Pelodiscus sinensis: one gene and its partners. The protein of the gene in region 1 purifies or fractionates together with the protein of each later gene. This does not show direct contact. Links are inferred from orthologs where the notes say so. Each region holds a gene or a part of one and is shown in the gene's direction. Other genes may lie near its edges.

The links. Proteins that work in one complex are often made in the same cells at the same time.
Region 2: the proteins of ANAPC2 (region 1) and NEK2 purify together in Homo sapiens (affinity purification with mass spectrometry; 4 studies listed by BioGRID and IntAct, with this or other methods). This does not show direct contact. The link is inferred for Pelodiscus sinensis from reciprocal best matches to the Homo sapiens genes ANAPC2 and NEK2.
Region 3: the proteins of ANAPC2 (region 1) and ANAPC7 fractionate together in Homo sapiens (co-fractionation; 6 studies listed by BioGRID and IntAct, with this or other methods). This does not show direct contact. The link is inferred for Pelodiscus sinensis from reciprocal best matches to the Homo sapiens genes ANAPC2 and ANAPC7.

Annotation. Positions count from the first base shown.
Region 1 is NC_134732.1:2,396,886-2,404,855, reverse strand, and holds the start of ANAPC2 (anaphase-promoting complex subunit 2), read left to right. Parts: upstream 1-4,953; 5' UTR 4,954-4,990; coding exon 4,991-5,074; intron 5,075-6,439; coding exon 6,440-7,059; intron 7,060-7,970. Other genes in the region: microtubule nucleation factor SSNA1, read right to left, coding at 1,337-1,536, 4,809-4,860. UniProt on the Homo sapiens protein: Together with the RING-H2 protein ANAPC11, constitutes the catalytic component of the anaphase promoting complex/cyclosome (APC/C), a cell cycle-regulated E3 ubiquitin ligase that controls progression through mitosis and the G1 phase of the cell cycle.
Region 2 is NC_134713.1:146,536,392-146,543,724, reverse strand, and holds the start of NEK2 (serine/threonine-protein kinase Nek2), read left to right. Parts: upstream 1-4,316; 5' UTR 4,317-4,593; coding exon 4,594-4,689; intron 4,690-5,987; coding exon 5,988-6,205; intron 6,206-7,333. UniProt on the Homo sapiens protein: Protein kinase which is involved in the control of centrosome separation and bipolar spindle formation in mitotic cells and chromatin condensation in meiotic cells.
Region 3 is NC_134725.1:32,240,293-32,247,835, forward strand, and holds the start of ANAPC7 (anaphase-promoting complex subunit 7), read left to right. Parts: upstream 1-4,526; 5' UTR 4,527-4,577; coding exon 4,578-4,795; intron 4,796-7,543. UniProt on the Homo sapiens protein: Component of the anaphase promoting complex/cyclosome (APC/C), a cell cycle-regulated E3 ubiquitin ligase that controls progression through mitosis and the G1 phase of the cell cycle.

The DNA of each region.
Region 1 (7,970 bases):
GGTTCTGGTCCCTGGCCCACCCCCAGGGGGAGCTGGGGGCTCCTGTACATTTCAAAGGAGGAATGCAGAAGTGCCTGTCAAGTAATCAATGGAAATTCCATCGACTATTCAACTAGTAAATTACTTGTTAGTTAACATCCTTACTGTGGAGAGGCCAAAGTTCTGGGCTCTGTTGGAGAGCAGTGACCCAGGCTATGCCCCAGTTACCTTCCCCATCCTCAACTCTCTGCAGGTCTGGCCCCTGCCCTCAGTCCACACGCTTGAAAAGAAAAGGCCCTCCCCTCTCTAGCTCCTGTTGAGGGGGTTTCTCAAGCCTTGGTATTCAGCACGGCCCTGTGCTCCTCACACCCTTTCCAGAATGGGAGACGTGTGCTGGCAAAACTCAAGCACTGCAGCAGCAAAGGCGACACTTCCCATACAACACAACCACAGAGCCTTGCCCCTGCTCTGAAGTGTTCCCTGGGGAGATCACTGCATCTTACTCCCCCCCCCCCCAAGATTCTGTCTTGTAGGAGAGGGCAGCCAGTCCTCCCTGGGGCCATGAGGCTGTGCTAGGCCCAGGCTTTGCTAAGGCACTGTGTGCCATGAACGGAATGCCAGTGGGCGGTGACGGACCGGAAGAAGAGAGATGATGCACTGGGATTGGAGCTGAGAGTCTACAAGGCAATGCAGGAGGCTCTCAAAGAACTGCAATTTTACAGAGAAGAAAGAAATCTGAGGTTGCACAAGGGCACTTTGGGTGGAGCTGGAATCAAAACCACCAACTCGAACCCCTAAGCCTCACCCAAACTGCCTTCTGAAACGAATGTGCCAAGCCCCTGCTTGCTTACCCTGTCTCTAGCAGTCATTCTAACCACTAGGCCCTAGTGCTCTTCCAGAACCAGGAGGAGAGGCCAAGAATCCCAGTTCCCAATGTCCCCCCGCAACGCAGCCAAGTGGCAGAGGGCCGTGGTAGGGGCTGGAGGTCCCATGTGCAGTGCCTGGTGTGGTTTTCTCACAGCAGTACCCTTTTTGGGAGAGCTGTGGAAAGGCCTTAGCTAAGTGCTCCCCAGGGTGGGAAGTGCCATACCCAGGAAGGCAGCCCCCACGTGCAGTGGCACCTTTCAACTCACTTTTGTAAATGACCACAGGATTTTGGCCGAGTGAGTTGAACCTAGTTCTGGTTCAGCCACACCACAAAGCCCTGCTTTCCCTGGCCTTTTGATTGCAGTTCAGAGCTGGTTCTACACGAGGCCTTGCTAACTGGAGAGACGCCATGCCTCTTCGGCAGTACCACCCAACCCCCCACGCATCGGGCAGCTGCCTTGGAGAAATCCAGCCCCCGGCGGCCAGATACCTTCGTGTAGGCGGCCTCAGTCTCGACGATGGTTTTCTCAAACTCGTTGCGGGTGGCCATCTTGCGAGCCAGGCTCTCGTTGACGCGGGCCAGCTTCTCGGTCAGGAGCCGGATGTCGTTTTGCAGCTTGCTCTTCTCCTCCTCCTCGTGCTGGATCTGCTGGCTCAGCTCATCCCGCTTGGTGCACAGCTCCTCGATACCTGGGGCAGGAGGCGAGTCAGGGCCAACTGTGGCCAGGGGCTCAGGGCCCATCCCTCTAGCACGCACGCAGGCGAGACATGTCCTGAGGCACCTGCATGGCCTCCCTGCACGGGGAGGTGGGGCCCACCTGGCCAGTGCAGAGAGTGTGGGGGAGTATGGGGAGGGAGGGGATGCAGTGCACAGAGCGGGCACAGGGTGCATAGGGGGGCAGTGCACAGAGCAGAGGGGGGGTGCAGGGTGCATGGGGGCAGCGCACAGAGGGGGGCAGGATGCATGGGGGCAGTGCACAGAGCAGACGAGGGGCGCGGGGTGCATGGGGGGAGGCGCACGGGGGGGCAGAGTGCATGGGGGGGCAGCGCACAGAGCAGACGGGGGCGTGGGGTGCAGCGCATGGGGGGTGCAGGGTGCATGGGGGACAGCGCACGGGGGGCAGGTGCATGGGGGGCAGCGCACAGAGCAGGCGGGAGGCGCGGGGTGCATGGGGGCAGCGCACGGGGGGGTAGGGTGCATGGGGGGCAGCGCACGGGGGGCAGGTGCATGGGGGGCAGCGCACAGAGCAGGCGCGGGGTGCATGGGGGGCAGCGCACAGAGCAGATGGGGGGCAGGGTGCATGGGGGGCAGCGCACGGGGGGGTAGGGTGCATGGGGGCAGCGCACAGAGCAGACGGGGGGTAGGGTGCATGGGGGGCAGCGCACGGGGGGGCAGGGTGCATGGGGGGCAGCGTACAGAGCAGACGGGGGGGCAGGGTGCATGGGGGCGGCGCACGGGGGGGCAGGGTGCATGGGGGCAGCGCACAGAGCAGACGGGGGGCGCGGGGTGCATGGGGGCGGCGCACGGGGGGGCAGGGTGCATGGAGGGCAGCGCACAGAGCAGACGGGGGGTGCATGGGGGCGGCGCACGGGGGGGCAGGGTGCATGGGGGCAGCGCACAGAGCAGACGGGGGGCGCGGGGTGCATGGGGGCGGCGCACGGGGGGGCAGGGTGCATGGGGGCAGCCCACAGAGCAGACGGGGGGCGCGGGGTGCATGGGGGCGGCGCACGGGGGGGCAGGGTGCATGGAGGGCAGCGCACAGAGCAGACGGGGGGTGCATGGGGGCGGCGCACGGGGGGGCAGGGTGCATGGGGGCGGCGCACAGAGCAGACGGGGGGTGCATGGGGGCGGCGCACGGGGGGGCAGGGTGCATGGGGGCGGCGCACAGAGCAGACGGGGGGCGCGGGGTGCATGGGGGGCGGCGCACTGGGGGGGCAGGGTGCATGGGGGCAGCGCACAGAGCAGACGGGGGGCGCGGGGTGCATGGGGGCGGCGCACGGGGGGGCAGGGTGCATGGAGGGCAGCGCACAGAGCAGACGCGGGGTGCATGGGGGCGGCGCACGGGGGGGCAGGGTGCATGGGGCGGCGCACAGAGCAGACGGGGGGCGCGGGGTGCATGGGGGCGGCGCACAGAGCAGACGGGGGGCGCGGGGTGCATGGGGGGCGGCGCACGGGGGGGGCAGGGTGCAGGGGGGCGGCGCACGGGGGGGCAGGGTGCATGGGGGCAGCGCACAGAGCAGACGGGGGGCGCGGGGTGCATGGGGGCGGCGCACGGGGGGGCAGGGTGCATGGAGGGCAGCGCACAGAGCAGACGGGGGGTGCATGGGGGCGGCGCACGGGGGGGCAGGGTGCATGGGGGCGGCGCACAGAGCAGACGGGGGGCGCGGGGTGCATGGGGGCGGCGCACAGAGCAGACGGGGGGCGCGGGGTGCATGGGGGCGGCGCACAGAGCAGACGGGGGGCGCGGGGTGCATGGGGGCGGCGCACGGGGGGGCAGGGTGCATGGAGGGCAGCGCACAGAGCAGACGGGGGGTGCATGGGGGCGGCGCACGGGGGGGCAGGTTGCATGGGGGCGGCGCACAGAGCAGACGGGGGGTGCATGGGGGCGGCGCACAGAGCAGACGGGGGGTGCATGGGGGCGGCGCACGGGGGGGCAGGGTGCATGGGGGCGGCGCACAGAGCAGACGGGGGGTGCATGGGGGCGGCGCACTGGGGGGCAGGGTGCATGAGGGCAGCGCACGGGGGGGCAGGGTGCATGGGGGCAGCGCACAGAGCAGACGGGGGGTGCATGGGGGCGGCGCACGGGGGGGCAGGGTGCATGAGGGCAGCGCACGGGGGGGCAGGGTGCATGGGGGCAGCGCACAGAGCAGACGGGGGGTGCATGGGGGCGGCGCACGGGGGGGCAGGGTGCATGAGGGCGGCGCACAGAGCAGACGGGGGGTGCATGGGGGCGGCGCACGGGGGGGCAGGGTGCATGAGGGCAGCGCACGGGGGGGCAGGGTGCATGGGGGCAGCGCACAGAGCAGACGCGGGGTGCATGGGGGCGGCGCACGGGGGGGCAGGGTGCATGGGGCGGCGCACAGAGCAGACGGGGGGCGCGGGGTGCATGGGGGCGGCGCACAGAGCAGACGGGGGGCGCGGGGTGCATGGGGGGCGGCGCACGGGGGGGGCAGGGTGCAGGGGGGCGGCGCACGGGGGGGCAGGGTGCATGGGGGCAGCGCACAGAGCAGACGGGGGGCGCGGGGTGCATGGGGGCGGCGCACGGGGGGGCAGGGTGCATGGAGGGCAGCGCACAGAGCAGACGGGGGGTGCATGGGGGCGGCGCACGGGGGGGCAGGGTGCATGGGGGCGGCGCACAGAGCAGACGGGGGGCGCGGGGTGCATGGGGGCGGCGCACAGAGCAGACGGGGGGCGCGGGGTGCATGGGGGCGGCGCACAGAGCAGACGGGGGGCGCGGGGTGCATGGGGGCGGCGCACGGGGGGGCAGGGTGCATGGAGGGCAGCGCACAGAGCAGACGGGGGGTGCATGGGGGCGGCGCACGGGGGGGCAGGTTGCATGGGGGCGGCGCACAGAGCAGACGGGGGGTGCATGGGGGCGGCGCACGGGGGGGCAGGGTGCATGAGGGCAGCGCACGGGGGGGCAGGGTGCATGGGGGCAGCGCACAGAGCAGACGGGGGGTGCATGGGGGCGGCGCACGGGGGGGCAGGGTGCATGAGGGCAGCGCACGGGGGGGCAGGGTGCATGAGGGCGGCGCACGGGGGGGCAGGGTGCATGAGGGCGGCGCACAGAGCAGACGGGGGCGCGGGGTGCATGGGGGCGGCGCACAGAACAGACGGGGGGGGCCAGGGTGCATGGGGGGCGCAGCGCACAGAGGGCGGGGAGCAGCGCACGGGGCTGGGGGGGGGGGCTGGCCGCCGGCCCCCCCCGCACCCTCCCCCCCGCGGGTCCCCCCCCGCTCACACTTGACCAGCTCGTTGTTGTAGCTCTGCAGCGCCGCCCCCTGCTGAGTCATGGCGGCCCGAACCCGGCCCGGCGCGCGCCCCGCCCCGCCCCAACCGCCCCGCTCGCCCCGCCCCTCGCCCGGCTCCGCCCCCGCCCGCTCGCCCCGCCCCCGCCTCACGTGCCCCTGGCGCGCGGGCCGGATGGCGGCGGGGCCGGGCCCGGAGCTGTCGGCGGCCTGGCACGCGCTGAGCACCGGCCTGGTGCCGCCCGCCGCGCTGGGGCTGGTGAGTGAGAGCGGCCCCCCCGCAGGCCCCCCCTCGGACCCCCCATGTAGACCCCCCCGTCTCGCCCCCCGACGGCCCCCCCCAAAACGGCCCCCCCCATGCAGCCCCCCAAAACGGCCCCCCCCATGTATACCCGCCCAGACGGCTCCCCCATGTAGACCCCTGTCTCCCCCCCCGACGGACCCCCCATGCAGCCCCCCTCGGACCCCCCTGTCTCCCCCCCGATGACCTCCCCACACGGCCCCCCCATGTAGACCCCCGTCTCTCCCCCTGACGGACCCCCTATGCAGCCCCTCCTCCCACACGGCCCCCCCATGCAGCCCCCCCAAACGGCCCCCCCATGCAGCCCCTCCTCCCACACAGCCCCCCCCATGCAGGCCCCCTTAGCCCCCCCCCAGATGGAGCCTCCCTCCAGGCCTCCTAATCAGCCCCAGACAGCCCCCCACCCTGCAGACAGGCCTAGCCGTGCCCCCCACCCCGGATCCCAGCCATTTCCCCCAACCCCCCCGCCCCGTTTTTGTCCTGAGAACCCCTAAGTGCGTAGGACAGTTCAGTTCGGGTGGGCCCCGGAGAGGGTGTTGGTTGCAGATAAGGCAGCTCGATTTTCTAGTTTTGTTAGGGCATCACTTGGGCAGCAGATTTAAGGTGGTGCCTTTGCACCTCTTCTGAGTGCAGACTTAAGGCTGAACTTCCTGGGGGTCTCAATGTTGTTTCTATCCAATTGCTCTTGCAAGGTCGCAAACCAGAGGAATGGATGTCTGCCCGCACCTTTAAGTGCATTCTCACCCTGGTGTGTGGGAATTGCCTTAGCTTTTGTTCTTGCCAAGTCAAAGATGGTCGCAAGAGAGGAGCCTTGGGATCCCCGCAGGGATTCAGGGCCACCCCTATTCTTAGAATGTTCTAATTTGGAAGCTCATTCACTTAACATTTTCTAGGAAAATGCATATTGTTTCCAAATTGAATCTGCCTGTTCCGAGCCACTGTATTTTCGCTGGTTTAGAGGGAGCAAATTATGGAAACTTCTGTGCACTGAATGGCTGGCATTGTGGCTTTGAGCTCTTCAATAAATAGGCTGCTCACCTGACAGCTCCCATGGCCGCTGTCAGCAAGGGGAGCAGTTGATGCCAGTCACGGTGTGGGTGCTCATGATGTGAACACCTTCCTATCAGCAGGATTGAGACCCCACCCTCTCCACCAACAGCAGGTGGTTGGTAACCTACAGCCGCCTGAAACGTGACCCAAATACCAGTGGGGGACATGCTCCATCCATAGCCTGCTGGCTGTTCTTTGAGGTGGATTTGCAAAGCCCAGCCTCAGTGATTTGTAGGTGCCCAGGCTTGTGTTTAACTTGGTGTGTCTCTTTAGGCAGGCCCCAGATCAGGTTCAGCAGGGCTGCTGAAGGACAGTGACTTGCAGGCGGCCGTGGAAGTGCTGCAGCGCTATGACTTGCACTCTGTCCTGGAAGAATGGTTCACTGAAGTTTTACAGACAGACTTGCAGGCCAATATAGCTCCTGAATTCTGGAATTGTATTGGCCAGTATGAAAACACGGCGGAAGAGCCACAGTGCTCCTTGCTTCTCCTGGATGCCTTTTGTCTGCTCAAGTGCCGCCTCGACCCTTATCTGAACAGCTTGGACCTTCTGGAAAAATGGACCAGAATGGGCTTGCTCCTTGGAACAGGCTCCCAGGTGCTGCGAGAGAAAGTCTACACCATGTTCAAAGCCATCCTTTTCTTCACCACCACCGAGACGTTCCAGGAGATGATCCAGCAGTTCTACAGCCGCACCTTCAAGATTTACATGCGCCAGGGGAAGAAGGGTGAAGGCGGAGTGAAGGCGTGCGAGAGCAGCATGAGTGAGAACGAGCCAGAGAGCGATCCGGAGGACGGAGGAGACGGCCGGCAGTGCCTGGGCTGCAGCAGTAAGAGAGAGCAGTGCTGGTGTCCCACAGCCATGGAGCAGTTCCAGCAGCTCAGTGAAATCCTGTGCGTATCTTACAGCAAGGTGGCGAGTTGTAGGGGCCTGCGCTCCCCCCCTCCCCCTCGCGTTTGCTGGCTCAGGTCTCCCTGAGTTCCGCCACCCTATGCTTGCCCCCCAGCCCCGCCTGCTGTCCCTGGGTGATTTTAAATGCCTTGGGGGGGCCCCCACTGCAAGCAGCGCACAGAGACCCACTCTTCTCCCCCCACCCTCCCAGGCCCCTCGGAGGTGCTGGCAGCCACGCAGAGTGAGCGGCAGGAAGCCTCTCTAGCCCCGCTGCACTGCTGATGGGGGCTTCCAGGGTGTGTTAATTCACCTAGGGGCAGCAGGAGGAACCAAAGGATGCGCAGGGCGGAAGGCATGTGAGTGGCAGGTGGGGCGGGAAGAGCAGTGGGAGCAGCACCGTGCACTAGGAGCTGCTGCCAGAGGGTGGTGCCTCCCAGGTAAACATGGCACCCTTTACCCTGGTGCTGCCCCCAAGCTCCAAACTGCCTCCCAGAGCCTGCCTCCTCCTGCGGCTTCCTCCCCCACCCCAGGCCAGAGCCTGCATCCGGGCCTCATCCACATTCCCTCCCAGAGCATGCACCCTGAACCCCTCCCGCATCCAAACTCCCTCCAAGAGCCTGCACCCCTCCTACCCACCGATCCTCTGCCCAGACTCTTGCTAACAAGACCAAGATGGCTGCACACAAACTCCCTTACTCCCTTTTCCTGCCTCCACACTACTGATTGTAATGAGAGATTATGGTATGCTGATGGTATGAAATTTGCATATAAATTCCAGTTCAGCAGTTTCACCTTGCAACCTGGTTTGGAAGGTTTTTTTACGTTGGAAGTTTGATATTTGATATGACTTGGGCTATATCACGCGATCCTGTAGTCTGTTGTTTAGAATCCGAGAGTGTTCTATTGTCGCATT
Region 2 (7,333 bases), on another chromosome or scaffold:
AGAAGGGGCCAGTGTGGACGTAGCCTAAAGGTAGTCAATAGATTTCCTAAGTCAGGAATTGCTCTGATAGGACCAGGGACTATGTCTTGATCTCAGAAGTAATAGTTACATGCAAATACTAACAACCCATGCTAAAAATCTTGGAACCAGCTACTCTTTATATAGGGAAATGGCTAAAACGCAGGAAGATTTTTCTCCTTTTCTGTTTATCACTGAAGAAGCAAAGCACACAGAGCTAAATCCTGTCTCTGCAATTGTAGAGCCAGAGGAACATTTGCATGCTTGAAATCTTGTACATGCAGCACTGCATGCAATTTCCAACCGGAGACACAACCAAGGGGGGTGGGTATACTAAGATGTCTATAAAATCATGACTGGTGTGGAGAAAGTAAATAAGGAAGTGCTATTACTCCATCCTATAACACAGGAACTAGATTCTAGTCCTAGTTATCACAGTACAGTTTTTCTCATCTTACCAGCCCTGTTTATCTGCATTAGCTTTTTCAAAACTTGCAATATCTGCTTGACAATATTCAGAACAGAACTACTACTGATGTCCTGCTACTTAAATACAACAATATATCATAGGGTTAGTTTTTGTCAACACTTTGGATGAAAGAAAATAGCCATCCTTCTATCTGACTCGTCTTTAGGAGTGATTGTAAAGTGCCATCCAGTGGAAATTTGGTATAGCTACAGTGTGACGCAAAATAGCAGTGTAGCTTCAAGCCATTGGCTACGTCTACACTGGCCCCTTTTCCGGAAGGGGCATGTAAATTTCATGAGTCGTAGTAGGGAAATCCGCGGGGGATTTAAATATCCCCCGCGGCATTTAAATAAAAATGTCCGCCGCTTTTTTCCAGCTTTTAAAAAAGCCGGAAAAGAGCGTCTACACTGGCCCCGATCCTCCAGAAAAAGCACCCTTTTCCGGAGGCTCTTATTCCTACTTTGAATAGGAGGATCGGGGCCAGTGTAGACGCTCTTTTCCGGCTTTTTTAAAAGCCGGAAAAAAGCGGCGGACATTTTTATTTAAATGCCGCGGGGGATATTTAAATCCCCCGCGGATTTCCCTACTACGACTCATGAAATTTACATGCCCCTTCCGGAAAAGGGGCCAGTGTAGACGAGCCCCCTATGTTTAGTACCTGTGGCCAAGATGTTCTGAAATAAATGTCTTAAGTTAGACTTAAATCCATATTTAGGTACCCAATAAATAGTATGACTTTCAAACAAATTGAAATTACAGCAGCTGCTAGGTGCCCCATACTTTTTAACATAGGCTGTATAAGGGTGCCTGAACATAGTTTAAGCACTTGATTTTAAGGAGTCATTTTTGAAAATCCAGCTATTTAACATTAAGGACCAATGGCCTAATACAATACCAAACAAAGTTAATTGGAAAAGCGACAAGGAGTTGCACCTTATAGACTAAGAGATGTATTGGAGCATTTGATGAAGTGGGTCTTTGCCCACAAAAGCTTATGCTCCAATACATCTGTTAGTCTGTAGGGTGCCACAGGACTCCTTGTCGCTTTTACAGATTCAGACGAACACGGCTACTTCTCTGAAAGTTAATTGGACTTGTTCCATTGTTTTCAATGGACCTTGGATAAGTCTCCAAATTCTGCCCCCAGTTGCGTTTGTACAATTAAAAGAGACATAGATCAAATTTGTCCCCATATTTATAAAACGTTACTCCAATATGAATTTTTCCAGCAAAATAAAAAAAGTCAGTTTTTAAACCAGGAGTGGGGAATCTCTCTCTCTCTCTCTCTCTTTTTTTTTTGTTTTGTTTTGTTTTTGTTTTGTTTTGTTAGTGACTACTGACCCAAAGAAAAATCACTCAGGGGCCACACTCACTGGCCATGGAAGGAAGGAAGGAAAAAAAACTAACTTAAAGGTCTGATCTGTTCTACAGCTTCCCTTGAGGCTCTGGGCATCCCTTCCCCCTGCAGCAGGGTGAACCAGCACTAGTGCTCCAGTTCCATGGGTGGGTAATGCCAAGGCAGTGAGACTTACAGTGGGGCTGGAGCACTAGTGCTGTTTTATCCCACTGTGAGGGAGAAGGGCAACCTCAAGCTTTGCTGCGGGTGAGATCAAGGGAAGCCGGGGGCCAGATCTGGCCCATGGGCTAGATTCGACCAATAGGCCATAAGTTCCCCAAACCTGGAAAATAAAAGTGCCTGTTGTGGTTTATCATTCCATACTAAGTCTAGCCTAACAGTTAAATATACTGAGCACCTACAGTATCTCTTCAGTAGGAGTTGTGGGTGGTCAGATGTTTGCAGGATCAGATCCTTGATGAGGGTTCACTACTGTGATAGGTTTTCAGAGCTGAATGACTTTGAAATTAAAATGTAGCACCTACATGTTAACGTGTATCACAAAACTGCTTCAAACTCGCCAAGAATAAGGCAAAGTTGTAAATTAGCCAAATACTTAAATTTATGTTGTTATTTCTATAGTGCCATAGGTGTGTAGACACTTTACAGGCCTCAAAGTAGACATTGCTGCAGACTACCATCAATTTCTGAAGACAGTATGGCAGAACTAGGAGGCTAGAGGTGATCGGGCAAGCTCTTAGGTTGTTTTGTTTACTATACATTGGGTCTGAATCTCCTTCCATTTACATAGGTGTATGTCGGGAAATATTTCACTAAAATCACTGGATTATACTAGTCCTATTGGCCCACCCACATCTAAAGGACCACCCCCTAGCCAACAGGAAGGGACCACAGAGCCCAGAATACCAAATAATTACTGGGGACAAATAAAAAGAAAACAGGGACGGATGTGGTGGTCATAGGGTCAAAATGAGGGAGCTGGATGGGGACACTGAGCAGAGAACAGCGCCCATTGCCCTTCAAAGGTCTCAAGAGAGCCAGCGGATCTCGCTCTGCCTGGATTCATGAACAGATGCAGGAGAGGAAGTAGGCCCCACAGTCGCAAGCCCCTCCCTCAGCCAACCTCTACTCCCTGGTTTTGTAAGTTGCCATCTTGTAAGAGCCAGGAGGAGGTTGAGAAGGAGGTTGTGCGACTTTGTGGGGCCACAGATGGGGTGTGCATAAATTAATAAGTGAGGGGTGAAGTGCAGCCAGAAACTCAAGAGGTTCTGGCGGAGCCAAAAGAGGGACTGTAATCTGGAGCACTCGCTGCAGTTATACTGGTATAAGAAAGGTAGTGTGTAGGGAGGGTCGGTGCTGGGCTGTGAACATTGGGACAGAGTTGGGTGGGACCTTGTGGACAATGCTACGTGTGTGTAAGGAGGGGTTAGGGGTTGTGGTTGATCTGGTCCAGGGGCAGCTTTAGCATGGATACATGGGTTCACCTGTACCCACAGAAATTATAAAAGCAGGGTGCACAAACAAGCAAATATACACTTCTTTCAGCGCAGATGAGAGGCCGTGAGGGGAGATGGGGGAGGGTCATGGTGTGCTGAAGTGTTGGCCTGAAACCACACTCTCCTAGCAGTGGTGGTTCCTATCCTGTGTGGCTGGACCCAGCTCTCTACTCCATGTGCTGCATCCTGTTGCAACACCACTCACTCAAATTTGGTCTGACCAGGTCAAACCTGACCAGTGTTGTGTGACCCTATGTACTTGATCAGAAGCCTGAAGCAGGGTTTTGGGTCCCACTTCTGGGGGGGAAGCCACTGTTGTGTGAAAGGTTTGGGAGGAGAGCTTCTCTCACCAGCCACCCCTCTGAGAGCCTGGAAAAGTCCCAGAGCAGGGTTAGAGGATGTTGCTGCAGGTGGCTGGTGCCCCCTTAACAGGTTATATCAGAGGTCCCCAAATTTTTCAGGGTCACCCCCTCCTTATCCTTGTCTGCCCCACCTCCCCCTGCCAGGTACTAGTGGGGTGACAGCTGGAGCACCAAGTGAGCGGTGGGGCCAGAGCAGTGGGGCTGGTGATGCACCTTCCCAGCCCACAGTGGCTGCTGTACCCCTCCCCGTTCCTCAGCACCCCCCCTTTAGGGGAGCATTCCTCACACTTTGAGGACCTCTATTTTACACAGCCAATACACCCATTTCAACCCTGGGCAGGCCATGAGCACCGAGTGGAGGAGGGGGGCAGTGGAGAGGCAGCAATAAGAGGATGGGGACGCAGTGGTGGAGACAGCATGGGCGGCAGCGATGAGCTGGGGGGGCAATAGCTTAGTGGGCTGTCTGTGGCGACGGAGCTGTGGGAGGCGTGGCAGGACAGTGGGGCAGGTGGTGAGGGATGTGGTGGGGGTGGCCGTTGGTACGGTACTGCGGGCAGGCGTTGGGTGGAAGATCACAGCCCGGGAGAAGTGTCCGTCTGCTCCTGAGAAGCAAAGGCAGGAAATGGGGCAGTTGTCTGCCGGAACTATACGAAAAAAGGGGCGGAGCTGTCTCCCCATCTTCCCTCGCGCCGCCGTGGTTGCTTAGCAGTCGTAACGGCCGTTACAATGACGTAAATTGTTTACAACGGAATAGCCAATGGGCGGACTGAAGGTGTGGGCGGAGCTGCTGTGCGGGGCCAATGACCAGCGGGGGCGGCGCGTTTAAACGACAGCGACAGGCAGCACCGCTACGGTGGTGCCGTTGGCCGGGATTCAACGTGTCGTGACGCCATGCCGAGCCGGCCTGAGGATTACGAGGTGCTGCTCACCATCGGCGCCGGTTCCTATGGGAAGTGCCAAAAGGTGCTGCGCCGGGTGGACGGCAAGGTGAGTAGCAGGGCAGCTCGGGCCCCGCTGAGTGCGACGATCTCTGGCGTCCTCATGCTGAGAAGTCCCATTCCCCGCCGCTGCCCGTAATGCCCGACATCTGTTCTCAGCGCCTCTGGCTGCGCGCTGTGTGACGGGTCCTGGTTTTAGCTCAGTCGGGTGGGGGGATCTCAAACTTCCTTGCACTGCGACCTCTGACACAGAAATTACTGCTCCATTCTCAGGAGAGGCCTGGTTCCTAACAAGGCTGAAGCCAACTCTGTGGTAATGCTGTTATAATGGGGTCGTGATTAATGTTCCCCCTAATCTTTACCAACCATATCCAAAATAAAATATGTGCACAGAGGCAAGTGGTTATGTGTGCCACCAATGGAAACCTAAAACAGCTGTGGGTGTTCTATCTAGTAAGCAAAATGCAGGACAATGTAGCACTTTAAAGACTAACAAGATGGTTTATTAGATGATGAGCTTTCGTGGGCCAGACCCACTTCCTCAGATCAAATAGTGAAAGAAAGTAGTCACAACCATATATACCAAAGGATACAATTAAAAAAATGAACAAATATGAAAAGGACAAATGACATTGCAGAACAGAAGGGGGATGCGGGGGGGGGGGGAGGAAGGAAGGTAAGTGTGCAGAACAGAAGGGGGATGCGGGGAAGGGGGAGGAAGGAAGGTAAGTGTCTGTGAATTGCTGATATTAAAGGTAGGGAGAGTGGGATGTTTGTGAGTTAATGGTATTACAGGTGATAATTGTAGTATCTATCTAGTAAGCAGATGGACTGCACTTAAATCTCAACTGAGTGGTTTGAAAGCACGTAGTTTACAGGGGATGTTGATCAGAGATGTTTGAATGTAAATGACTATCTGCTTAACTGATAATGGGTGCTAAGTTATGGGTTACACTGGGGGAAGCCTCCTCCCTGTCAGCCTGGAGAGCAAGGGCAGCCAGCTCCTCCAGGGGAGGAGGCATCCCTGCAGTAGCAAAGAGGCCTTCTAGGGAGCTGGGGTGGGTGGCCCTTCTCCCAGGGAAGCTTTGCTTCAGGCTCTGTAGAATAAAGCTAAACTTTATACTGAAGAGTCCACAACCTGAGTAACTATAGAACTGCTGAGGCTTTCAGTGGTTACACAGTTACCCTAATTCATCATTACATTCCTTAGTCCTGACCCTCATGTTTGGAGAACTGCTGTTCTAGCTTATCAAGCTCAACTAGTTGATCAATTAGCTTGGCTTGGCTTTATAAGCCATTCCTAAAGAAAGCATTAGTGTTTTAGTCATTTTGTAAACTGTTTTTCAGGTCTTAGTTTGGAAAGAGCTTGACTATGGCTCTATGACAGAAGCAGAGAAACAAATGCTTGTTTCAGAAGTGAATTTGCTCCGGGAGCTGAAACATCCAAATATTGTCCGATATTATGATCGCATTATTGACAGAACCAATACAACCCTCTACATTGTGATGGAATATTGTGAAGGAGGTGACCTGTCTACTTTAATTGCAAGATGTACAAAGGAAAGGCATGTGAAATCTGTTTATGGGACTCTTGTGCTCTCCCATCTAAATAACGGGATCATTTACCAGAATTAAGCCAAATCAAAATGCATCTCCTTGTAATCAATTAGAATCTTAGGTTTGATAAAAAATTAATCACAGATTTCTAAATTTTTGTACGAAGGAATTGCGTGGGGTGCATAAAGTTTTTGTGAAAAAAATTGCCAGCTTGAATGGCCGCTTGAATTTGCTCAAGAGCACTGACTTTGTAATGTACAAAATCAGTGCTTCTTGCGTAAAAGCTTTCACGCTCCCGCTTGGGGGGGGGGGGAGCCCAAGAATACCTGCACAAGAGGGCCAGTGTAGACAGGGAAGAACTGTTTTGTGCAAAAAAGCCCCGATGGCTAAAATGGTGATTGGGGCTTTCTTGCGCAAAATCGCATCTAGACTGGCCACGGATGCTTTTGTGCAAAAGCACTTTTTGTGCAAAGGCATCTGTGCCAATCTAGATGTGCTTTTGCAGAAATACTTTTAACGGAAAAACTTTTCCATTAGGCTGTGTCTAGACTGCATCCCTTTTTTCATAAAAGGGATGCAAATTAGATACATCGCAATTGAAAATGAAGTGGGGATTTAAATCTCCCCTGCTTCATTAACATAAAAATGGCTGCCTCTTTTTTCCGGCTCGGCGCTTTGCCGGAAAAAAGCGCCAGTCTAGATGTGGATCTTTTGGAAAATAAAACCTTTTCCAAAAGATCCCTTATCTTAAAATGAGGGATAAGGGATCTTTCGGGAAAAGGGTTTATTTTCCGAAAGATCCGCATCTAGACTGGCGCTTTTTTCCGGAAAAAAGCGACAGCTTTTTTCATGCTAATGAAGCGGGGGAGATTTAAATCCCTGCTTCATTGGCAATTGTGGTGTGTCTAATTTGCATCCCTTTTACGGAAAAGGGATGCAGTCTAGACACAGCCCCAAAGTATTTCTGCAAAATCATGCCAGTGTAGAATAAAAATCAAAGCCAGCCTTAAAGTGTAGGGTTCAGGTATAGTTTAGTGGAAGCTGTGATAGAATGACTTCTACTGATAAAATACAGAAAGATAGTTTGCATGTACAGTAATAGTCTTTATTGCATTCCCTTGTGTGAGGTAAAAACC
Region 3 (7,543 bases), on another chromosome or scaffold:
CTCACCAATGGGATCACAAAAGATGAGATCTGTTGATTGATGGCTCAGTACATTCAAACATATGTAGTGCCTAGAGACCCAATGGAGACTGAGATTCCATTGTACTAGGCACTGTGCAGAAAAATTCTCTGGCCTAAAGAGTGTAAAGTGTTAAGTAGACCAGACACCTATCCAATAAGAGGAGAAAGAAGTGACTTGTCCAAGGTCACATAGGAACAGGGCCGGCTCTAGGCACCAGCAAATCAGGCAGGTACTTGGGGCAGCATTTCAGGTAAGCAGCTGGCGCTGCCCCTGGCAACGCCTAGCCCTGCCCTGCTGATTTTAAAGGGCTGCGGCCTGGGAAACGCCGTGGCTGTGCAGCCAGCTGGCACCAATGTGCACCTGGAGCCTGCTGGCCACCTCGTCTCCTCTCCTACTCCTCCCCTCCCCGGCAGTCGCTAGGCTGCTGGCACAAAATGGCTGCCGGCCAAAAGACCAAGGAGACTTAGTGCTCAACTGCTCTCTTGTTCCTATTCCTGCACTCACTCTTAAAGGGGACATGCTGTTTTATTTTTTTGTTGTTGTTGTTCAACAACTTTGGTCTCCCCCCCACACTTTTTTTTTTCCTTCAACAGAATTTTTTCCCGGTGTTTTTTTTGGGTGGGGGAGGGCAAAAATGTTTTTGCTTGGGGCAGCAAAAAACCTAGAGCCAGCCCTTCATAGGAAGTCAGTAGTGGAGCAAGAAGTAGCACCCTTGAAAGAGATCCTGACTCCAGTGAATGAGTCCAGGATTTCACTCTGCATTCTAGTCCACTACCTTAAGCACCAGTTCATGCTACCTCTCTGCTCTAGAATGCCAGTCTTGCATTAAAATGTAACTCCTCTTGATTGGTAACAAAATAAAAAATATATGAGGCCTGATCCTGAAGTTTGGTGCAGACTATAGTCCCTTTAATGAGACTTTTGCCTGAGTAAAAACTGTAACATGTTAGGATTATTGTGCCTATAATATTACCTGGTGGAACAAGGTGTAGAAAGTTGCATTAAGGTAACTGGTGATATAGGTGTTTAGGATATAGATGTTAAAGGGACATTTCACATGACAGCTACACATTGGCTGTGTCTAAACTGCATCCCTTTTCCGTAAAAGGGATGCAAATTAGACACATTGCAATTGCAAATGAAGCGGGGATTTAAATCCCCTCCGCTAAACATGTCTGCCGCTTTTTTCCGGCTCGGAGCTTTGCCGGAAAAAAGCGCCAGTCTAGACGTGGATCTTTCGGAAAATAAAGCCTTTTCCGAAAGATCCCTTATTAAAATAAGGAATAAGGGATCTTTCGGAAAAGGCTTTGTTTTCTGAAAGATCCGCGTCTAGACTGGTGCTTTTTTCCGGCAAAGCTCCGAGCCGGAAAAAAGCGGCAGCCATGTTTATGCAAATGAAGCGGAGGGGATTTAAATCCCTGCTTCATTTGCAATTGCGATGTGTCTAATTTGCATCCCTTTTACGGAAAAGGGATGCAGTCTAGACACAGCCGTTGTGTGTCTCTCAACTCCCCTCCCCTCTTCAATGTACACTTGCCTCTTCCTCCATCTCTGTAGGGCCATCCTGAGAGGGCCCGAGGCAGCACCCTCCGTCACATCTCCCATCTCTGCCCTGCCCTTGCCCCCTGACCAGCATAGCCCAGGAGGATTATGGGGTCCTGGTGTGCAGCAGCAGGGGTCATCTTTCCCCCTACTCACCACCCTGGGGCTACAGGTGTCTGCTTCCTTCTGCTATGGGGAGCAGCGGGCTGCAAGAAGGTGGCAAGATGGAGTGGAGTAGGCTGTTGGGCTGCTCCAACTCCTGCTGTTGTGAGGGAGCAACCCCTGCTGCTGCCATGCTAGGTCCCCATAATTCCCTGGTCACTCCCATCCCTAAGATGGTTGAGGTGACCTCCACAGGGCCCCCAAAAGTATGGGGGATCTGGGCTAGCTGCCTGCATTTCTACTATAATGTCCCACATCAGGGAGAGCTGCAAGAAATTCCCCACCTCCAAAAAACTGTCACCATGCTGCTCCAAGTTTAACATGGGTGATGGGTAGAAGTCAACATCACATAAGAACAGCCATACTGGGTCAGATCAAAGGTCCATCTAGTCGAGTATATTGTCTTCTGACAGTGGCCAGTTCCAGGTGCCCCAAGGGAATGAACAAAACAGGTAATCATCAAGTGATCCAGCCCTTGTCACCCATTCCCAGTTTCTGACAAACACCATCTCTGCCCATCCTGGCTAATCGCTATTGATGGACCTATCCTACATGAATTTATCTAGCTCTGTTTTTGAACAGTCCTGGCCTTCACAACACCCTAACAAGGAACTGCACAGGTTGGTTGTATATCAGCTAGTGTGCGAGATATCAGTTAATTGAATAGTTGAGTCATGAAATCCTGTTGGTTATCAACTATTTTATAGTCCCCAGGGGAGAGGCCAGCATCCAGTGTGCTCTTGGTCCCACTCCTGGGGACCCCCCAACACCCGCGCTGCTGCCTCTGTATCAGAGGCACTAGCATGGGGTGCCAGGCAGGAGTTAAAAAACAGATCCCCACATGGACCAGCTGCCTACCAGCCTGCTTTGCAGCCTCTGATAAAGAGGCAGCAGTGAGGGGTGGCAACAGCTACTGTCTGTAGGAGGTCCCATGGACAGAGGCTGCTGCAGCGGTGAGGATGGAAAGGCTGCCACAAAGCAACCTTGGTCCATGGGCAGCAGGGATTGGGGTCTGAACTCCCTGGGGGCAGATGCTGTTCAGCCTCCCATGGAGCAGCCTCTCTCTGCAGTAAACTTGAGCCTGCCATGGACAGAGGCTAGTCCTCAGCAGGAGACCTGAGGTGGGACTGAGCTCCCCTCAGACAGAGGTGGAACAGCTTCTGTCCATGGGGAGCTCAGACCCCCTGCAGTCAGGGGCTGCTGCTAGGGTTGCCAGGTGTCTGGTATTGTACTGGACAGTCCGGTATTTGCGCGCTCTGTCCGGTAAAAAAAATCAGAAAATACCGGACATGTGCAATGTCTGGTATTTTTTGATTTTTCCAGCTGCGCACCAGACGGAAGCCTGGCATGGGTGGGGGGAGCGGATGGGAGGCGGGGCCATGATTGCTGCCAGGAGCCCTCAGTTGGTTGAGTGTGAGGAGGAGGGGAAGCCTGCACGGGACAGGCAGCAAGTGCCCAGGTCAGTCCCGCTCCCTGCCAGCCAATTTGCTCACCCCTTCCTGGCTGGTTCTCCCTCACTTCCCCGGCCAGCCCTCTGCACCATCCCCCAGCTCTGCTTCCCACTGGCCCATTCCTCTTTCTGATCTCCCGCAGCCAGCGCCGCTGCATCCCTCCCCTTGCCAGCTCTGCTTCCTGCCCCCCTTCCTCCCGGCCAGCGCCACTGTACCACCCCCCGCCAGCTGTGCTTCCTGCTCCCCCTTCCTCCGGGCCAGCCCCGCAGCCCCCGCCCCGCCCCCAGCTCTGCTTCCCACAGCCTGTTCCTCTTCCTGATCTCCCCCGGCTAGAGCCGCTACATCCCACCCCCGCCAGCTGCTTCCTGCCCCCCTTCCTCATGGCCCCCAATCCGCCCCAGCTGCACTTCCCACCCCTCCTCCCCCAATATCCCTCGGCCAGGCCCGTTTTGCCCTATCCCCCCTGCTTCCTCCCCCATCTCCTCCGGCCAGCCCCGTTGCAACCCCCATTAGTTGTTTCCAGGACCCCCCTTCCAGGCCAGCACTGCTCCCTTCCTGGCCGGTACTTCTCCCCCCCCCCCCATGAAGCGTTTTATTTTTAAATGACTCCCTGGTAACCCCTAGCAGTGATCCAGGTTCTTGGAAACCCCCCCCTTTTTTTTCTCAACAACTTTGGTTCTCCCCCCCCTTTTCTTTCCTTCAACAAAATGTTTCCAGTTTTTTTTTTGGTGTGTGTGTGGGGGGGTCGGTATTATTGTTTCAGCCATCTGGCAACCCTAACTGCTGCCAGTGCATGTTCTCAAACGCTGGGGGGGAGCCTTGGGAACCAGATCCAGACAAGCCAGAGTCCACTTCCAGCCCCTGGGCCCGAGCTCCCCACCCTGCATTACTGGGCGCGCCTAAGCTTAAACTACAGGGAACGTGCCCAAGACTTGCCGCCTACCCCGGCGAGAGCGCAGCGCTGCTGGGACTCTGTCGGCGATTGAACTACCCTGGGGGCCAGGCCCAATGCAGTGCCCCCTGCTGGCTCAATGGCAGCGCTTCCTTTATGGAAGGGACAAGAAGCAGGCGGGCCCAGACACGACGCGCGTGCGAGCAGGTATCGCATTCACTGTGACGTCACTGTCCCCTCACTGTGCCGGGAACAGGGAGGTCCCCGCAAGGGCTCCGCCGCGAGCTAGCCCGCGACACGAGGCGCCGTCAGAGCCACCTGCGCATGCGTAAAGTGCCTCAGGCTCCTGGGGCGTCTACTTTTATGCCTGATGGAAAATGTCATTGCTTTGATGCCTATCCGTTCAGCGGCGGGGTGGAAGCTTACACCTGGTCTGGATTTACCTGGGGGAGCCCCAGCGGAGAGGTTTTTAAACGGAGGCACGAGGTCGGGCGACCGGAAGAAGCGCAATGGACCCCTGTGTGCGAGGCCCCTTCTGTGGCGCCATTTTGGAGTCGCTGCGGGCTGAGGAGCTGCTGTCGCTTCCGTCCCCGGCCGGCGCCCCCTGCGCCTCCCCGCGCTTCGGGATGAGCGTGGTGGAGCATGTGCGGGAGATGGCGGCTGCGGGGCTCCACTCCAACGTGCGGCTCCTCAGCGGGCTGCTGCTCACCATGAGCGGCAACAACCCGTGAGTGCCGCGGGGGGCCGGAGCCGGGGCTGAGGCAAGGCCCCTCTCGGGGCCCTGCGACCTGGGGCTGCCCCAGGCGGAGGCGGCAGGGTGGGGGGTGCTGGACGGGGCGGGGTCTCGCGGGTGCTTTGTGGGGCCCAGCGGGACCGGGCTTGGGGGGCTGCAGCTAAGAAGGCGGCGTCGGAGCAAAGGCCCATCCCGCCCAGTGGCCAGTGCCAGGTGCCCCAAAGGGAGTGAACAGAAACAGGGGTCGTGACACGAGCCCTCCCCTGTCGCCTCTTCCCAGCTTGTGACCGAGGCTAGGGACACTCTCCCTGCCCAGCCTGTCTAATCGCCATTGATGCGCCTGTTCTCCAGGAATCTATCTAGCGCTTTGTAAAAACTCTGTTATAGGCACAGGCATCCGGTGGCTTAGGCAAGCTACCAGCTTGGTCCACCCACACTCCACCCCAAGACTATCTCGGAGCGGAGTGTTGCTGCCTTCAACACCTGCCCTCCTGGTGCTCCCCTTCCCTCTCTTCCTCTCCTTGGTGCTTCAGGGAGGCTGAGAAGCATTCGGTGCTGCCCCTCTTATCCCCCATCCCCAGTGCTCCGGGGAAGCTGGGGAGCGTTTGGCCTGTTGCCCCTTCTCTGGGGAGTGCTTCCCAGGTTTCAGCAGAGGGGGTGCCTGCCTCCCCCAGCACCAGCTTCACCAGCCACTCATGGTTATAGGCGAGGTCTACACGGAGATGGTTTGGTGACAAAAGTGAAAACCAATCAAACTAATTTTTCTGTCTCCCATTGTCGCTATTCTATGTCCACGCTGCTAGTATCCTGTCAACTAACAAACAAAGTGATGTGGGTAAGCACGCACACACACACACCCCGGTGTAGTGTTTTGGGAAGGCAGAGTTTATCCATGCACTTCTTGGGATTCCCACCTAACTCTGTGATCTGTCTGTGCTGAGGAATATCAAAGCAGCTCAGCAGTCTCTCCAGCCCTGTAGCAGCAGTCTGCCTGATGCCATGTTTCTACCAGGGCAGAACAGAATCACTCCAATGATTTGTTCTTTATTTGTTCCCCAAATGGTGAAGCTCATTGACCTGTCACATACTTGCCAGAGTTTTGAAAGTGGAAGGATGTATGCATGCAGGCAGCAAAGATCGCAAAAGCCTGAACAGAGCTATCAGGTCAGGCATTGTGGGATACTGGTGAAAGCCATTTCAACAAAACAAACCACAGTGTCCACACTGACTCTATGTTGACAATAGAGGGAAGGGAAGAGACAAAAATCTCTTACAAGGCTGAAGTTTTTTTGTTGCCAAAACTGGGTGACAAAATTCACATTGTAGTGTAAATGCTCTCATTGTTTCATTGCCAAAAGGCAGCTTTTGGTGATAAAATGTGCCAGTGTAGACAAAGCTATAGTCTTGACCTTCACAGCATCCTCTGGGAGGGAGTTTCTTCGGTTGACTGTGTGGAAAAAAAATACTTCCTTTTGTTTGTTTTAAACTTGCTACCTATTAATTTTATTAGGTGACCCCTAGTTCTTGTGTTATGGGAAGGAATAAATAATTTCTCATTCAATTTTTCCACACTAGTCATGATTTTATAGACCCAAATCATATCCCCTTATAGCTGTCTGTTTTCCAAGCTGAAAAATCCCAGTTTTATTAATCTCTCCTCATAAAACACCTGTTCCATAGCCCTGCTTTTTTTTCCCAATTCCAATATATCTTTTTTGCAGTGAGGCAACCACATCTTCATGCAGTATTCAAGATGTGTGTGTACAATGGATTTCTATAGAGGCAATAAGATTTTTTTCTCTCTTTTTCTATCTGTTCTTAATGATGCTCAGCATTTTGTTTGCTTTTTTGACTGCCTGTCAGCCGACCGTCAGGGCAGTGAGTGGTGTGTGTGTGTGTGTGCTATACACCCGAGACTTCAACTGCTGAGACTGGGGTCCCTTGCAGCGGGCAACCTGGAGGTTTATGAGCGCCCCAATATGTTTGCAGGGAGAGCTTATTACACTTCAGATTTTAGCTGCTAGAATCTGTGATTCCTTCGCAGCGGGCAGCCTAGGGGAGGCTGAGGAGTGCCCCAACGGATCTGCCACCTGGGAGTGACACAAATCCAAATGCCCAAGCTCTCCCTATATCTGTCCCTTAAGACCGGCTGAAGTTCTTTTAAATTGTGCCTGGTTCTGTTACAGCAACTGAAGGAGTCAGGTTAAAGCTTAAACAGTTACAGGTTTATTGAGGAAGCTTATAAATCATATGTTTGCAATGGCTATTGTTCTATTTCTTAACTGCTAGCAAAATATAGATATTAAAAATGGTTACAAAGAAGATAAAGATAGGAAAAACAAAAATAATAGTACCAAGTAACAGCTTAACCTTTAAAGAGCTCTTAGTCTGTGTACACTTAAGACAGAGGACCACATCCAGGTACAATTTTTACCCCCTTCTGTGCCTCTCGGCTCCAGCGTATCATGCCAGAGCCGGTCCCTCAATTCCTAGGAAAGACGAAAATATGAGGTGGGCGTCCCCATAGAACCTCGGGAGGTCAAACACCTAACCCGACCAGCAGGTAGAGGGTAGATTAACACTCAAAAGTGAGTGTGCTACTGTACCCATCTTTATACCCATGGGGTCACGTATTTCTCTTTCTTATCTGTGATGCCAAATAGTGCTGGTCTGCCTTTTGTGAGACCAGTTCTTACAAGGGAGTTGTGAACTTAATTTACACTTGTAAGAGAGAATTGAGAG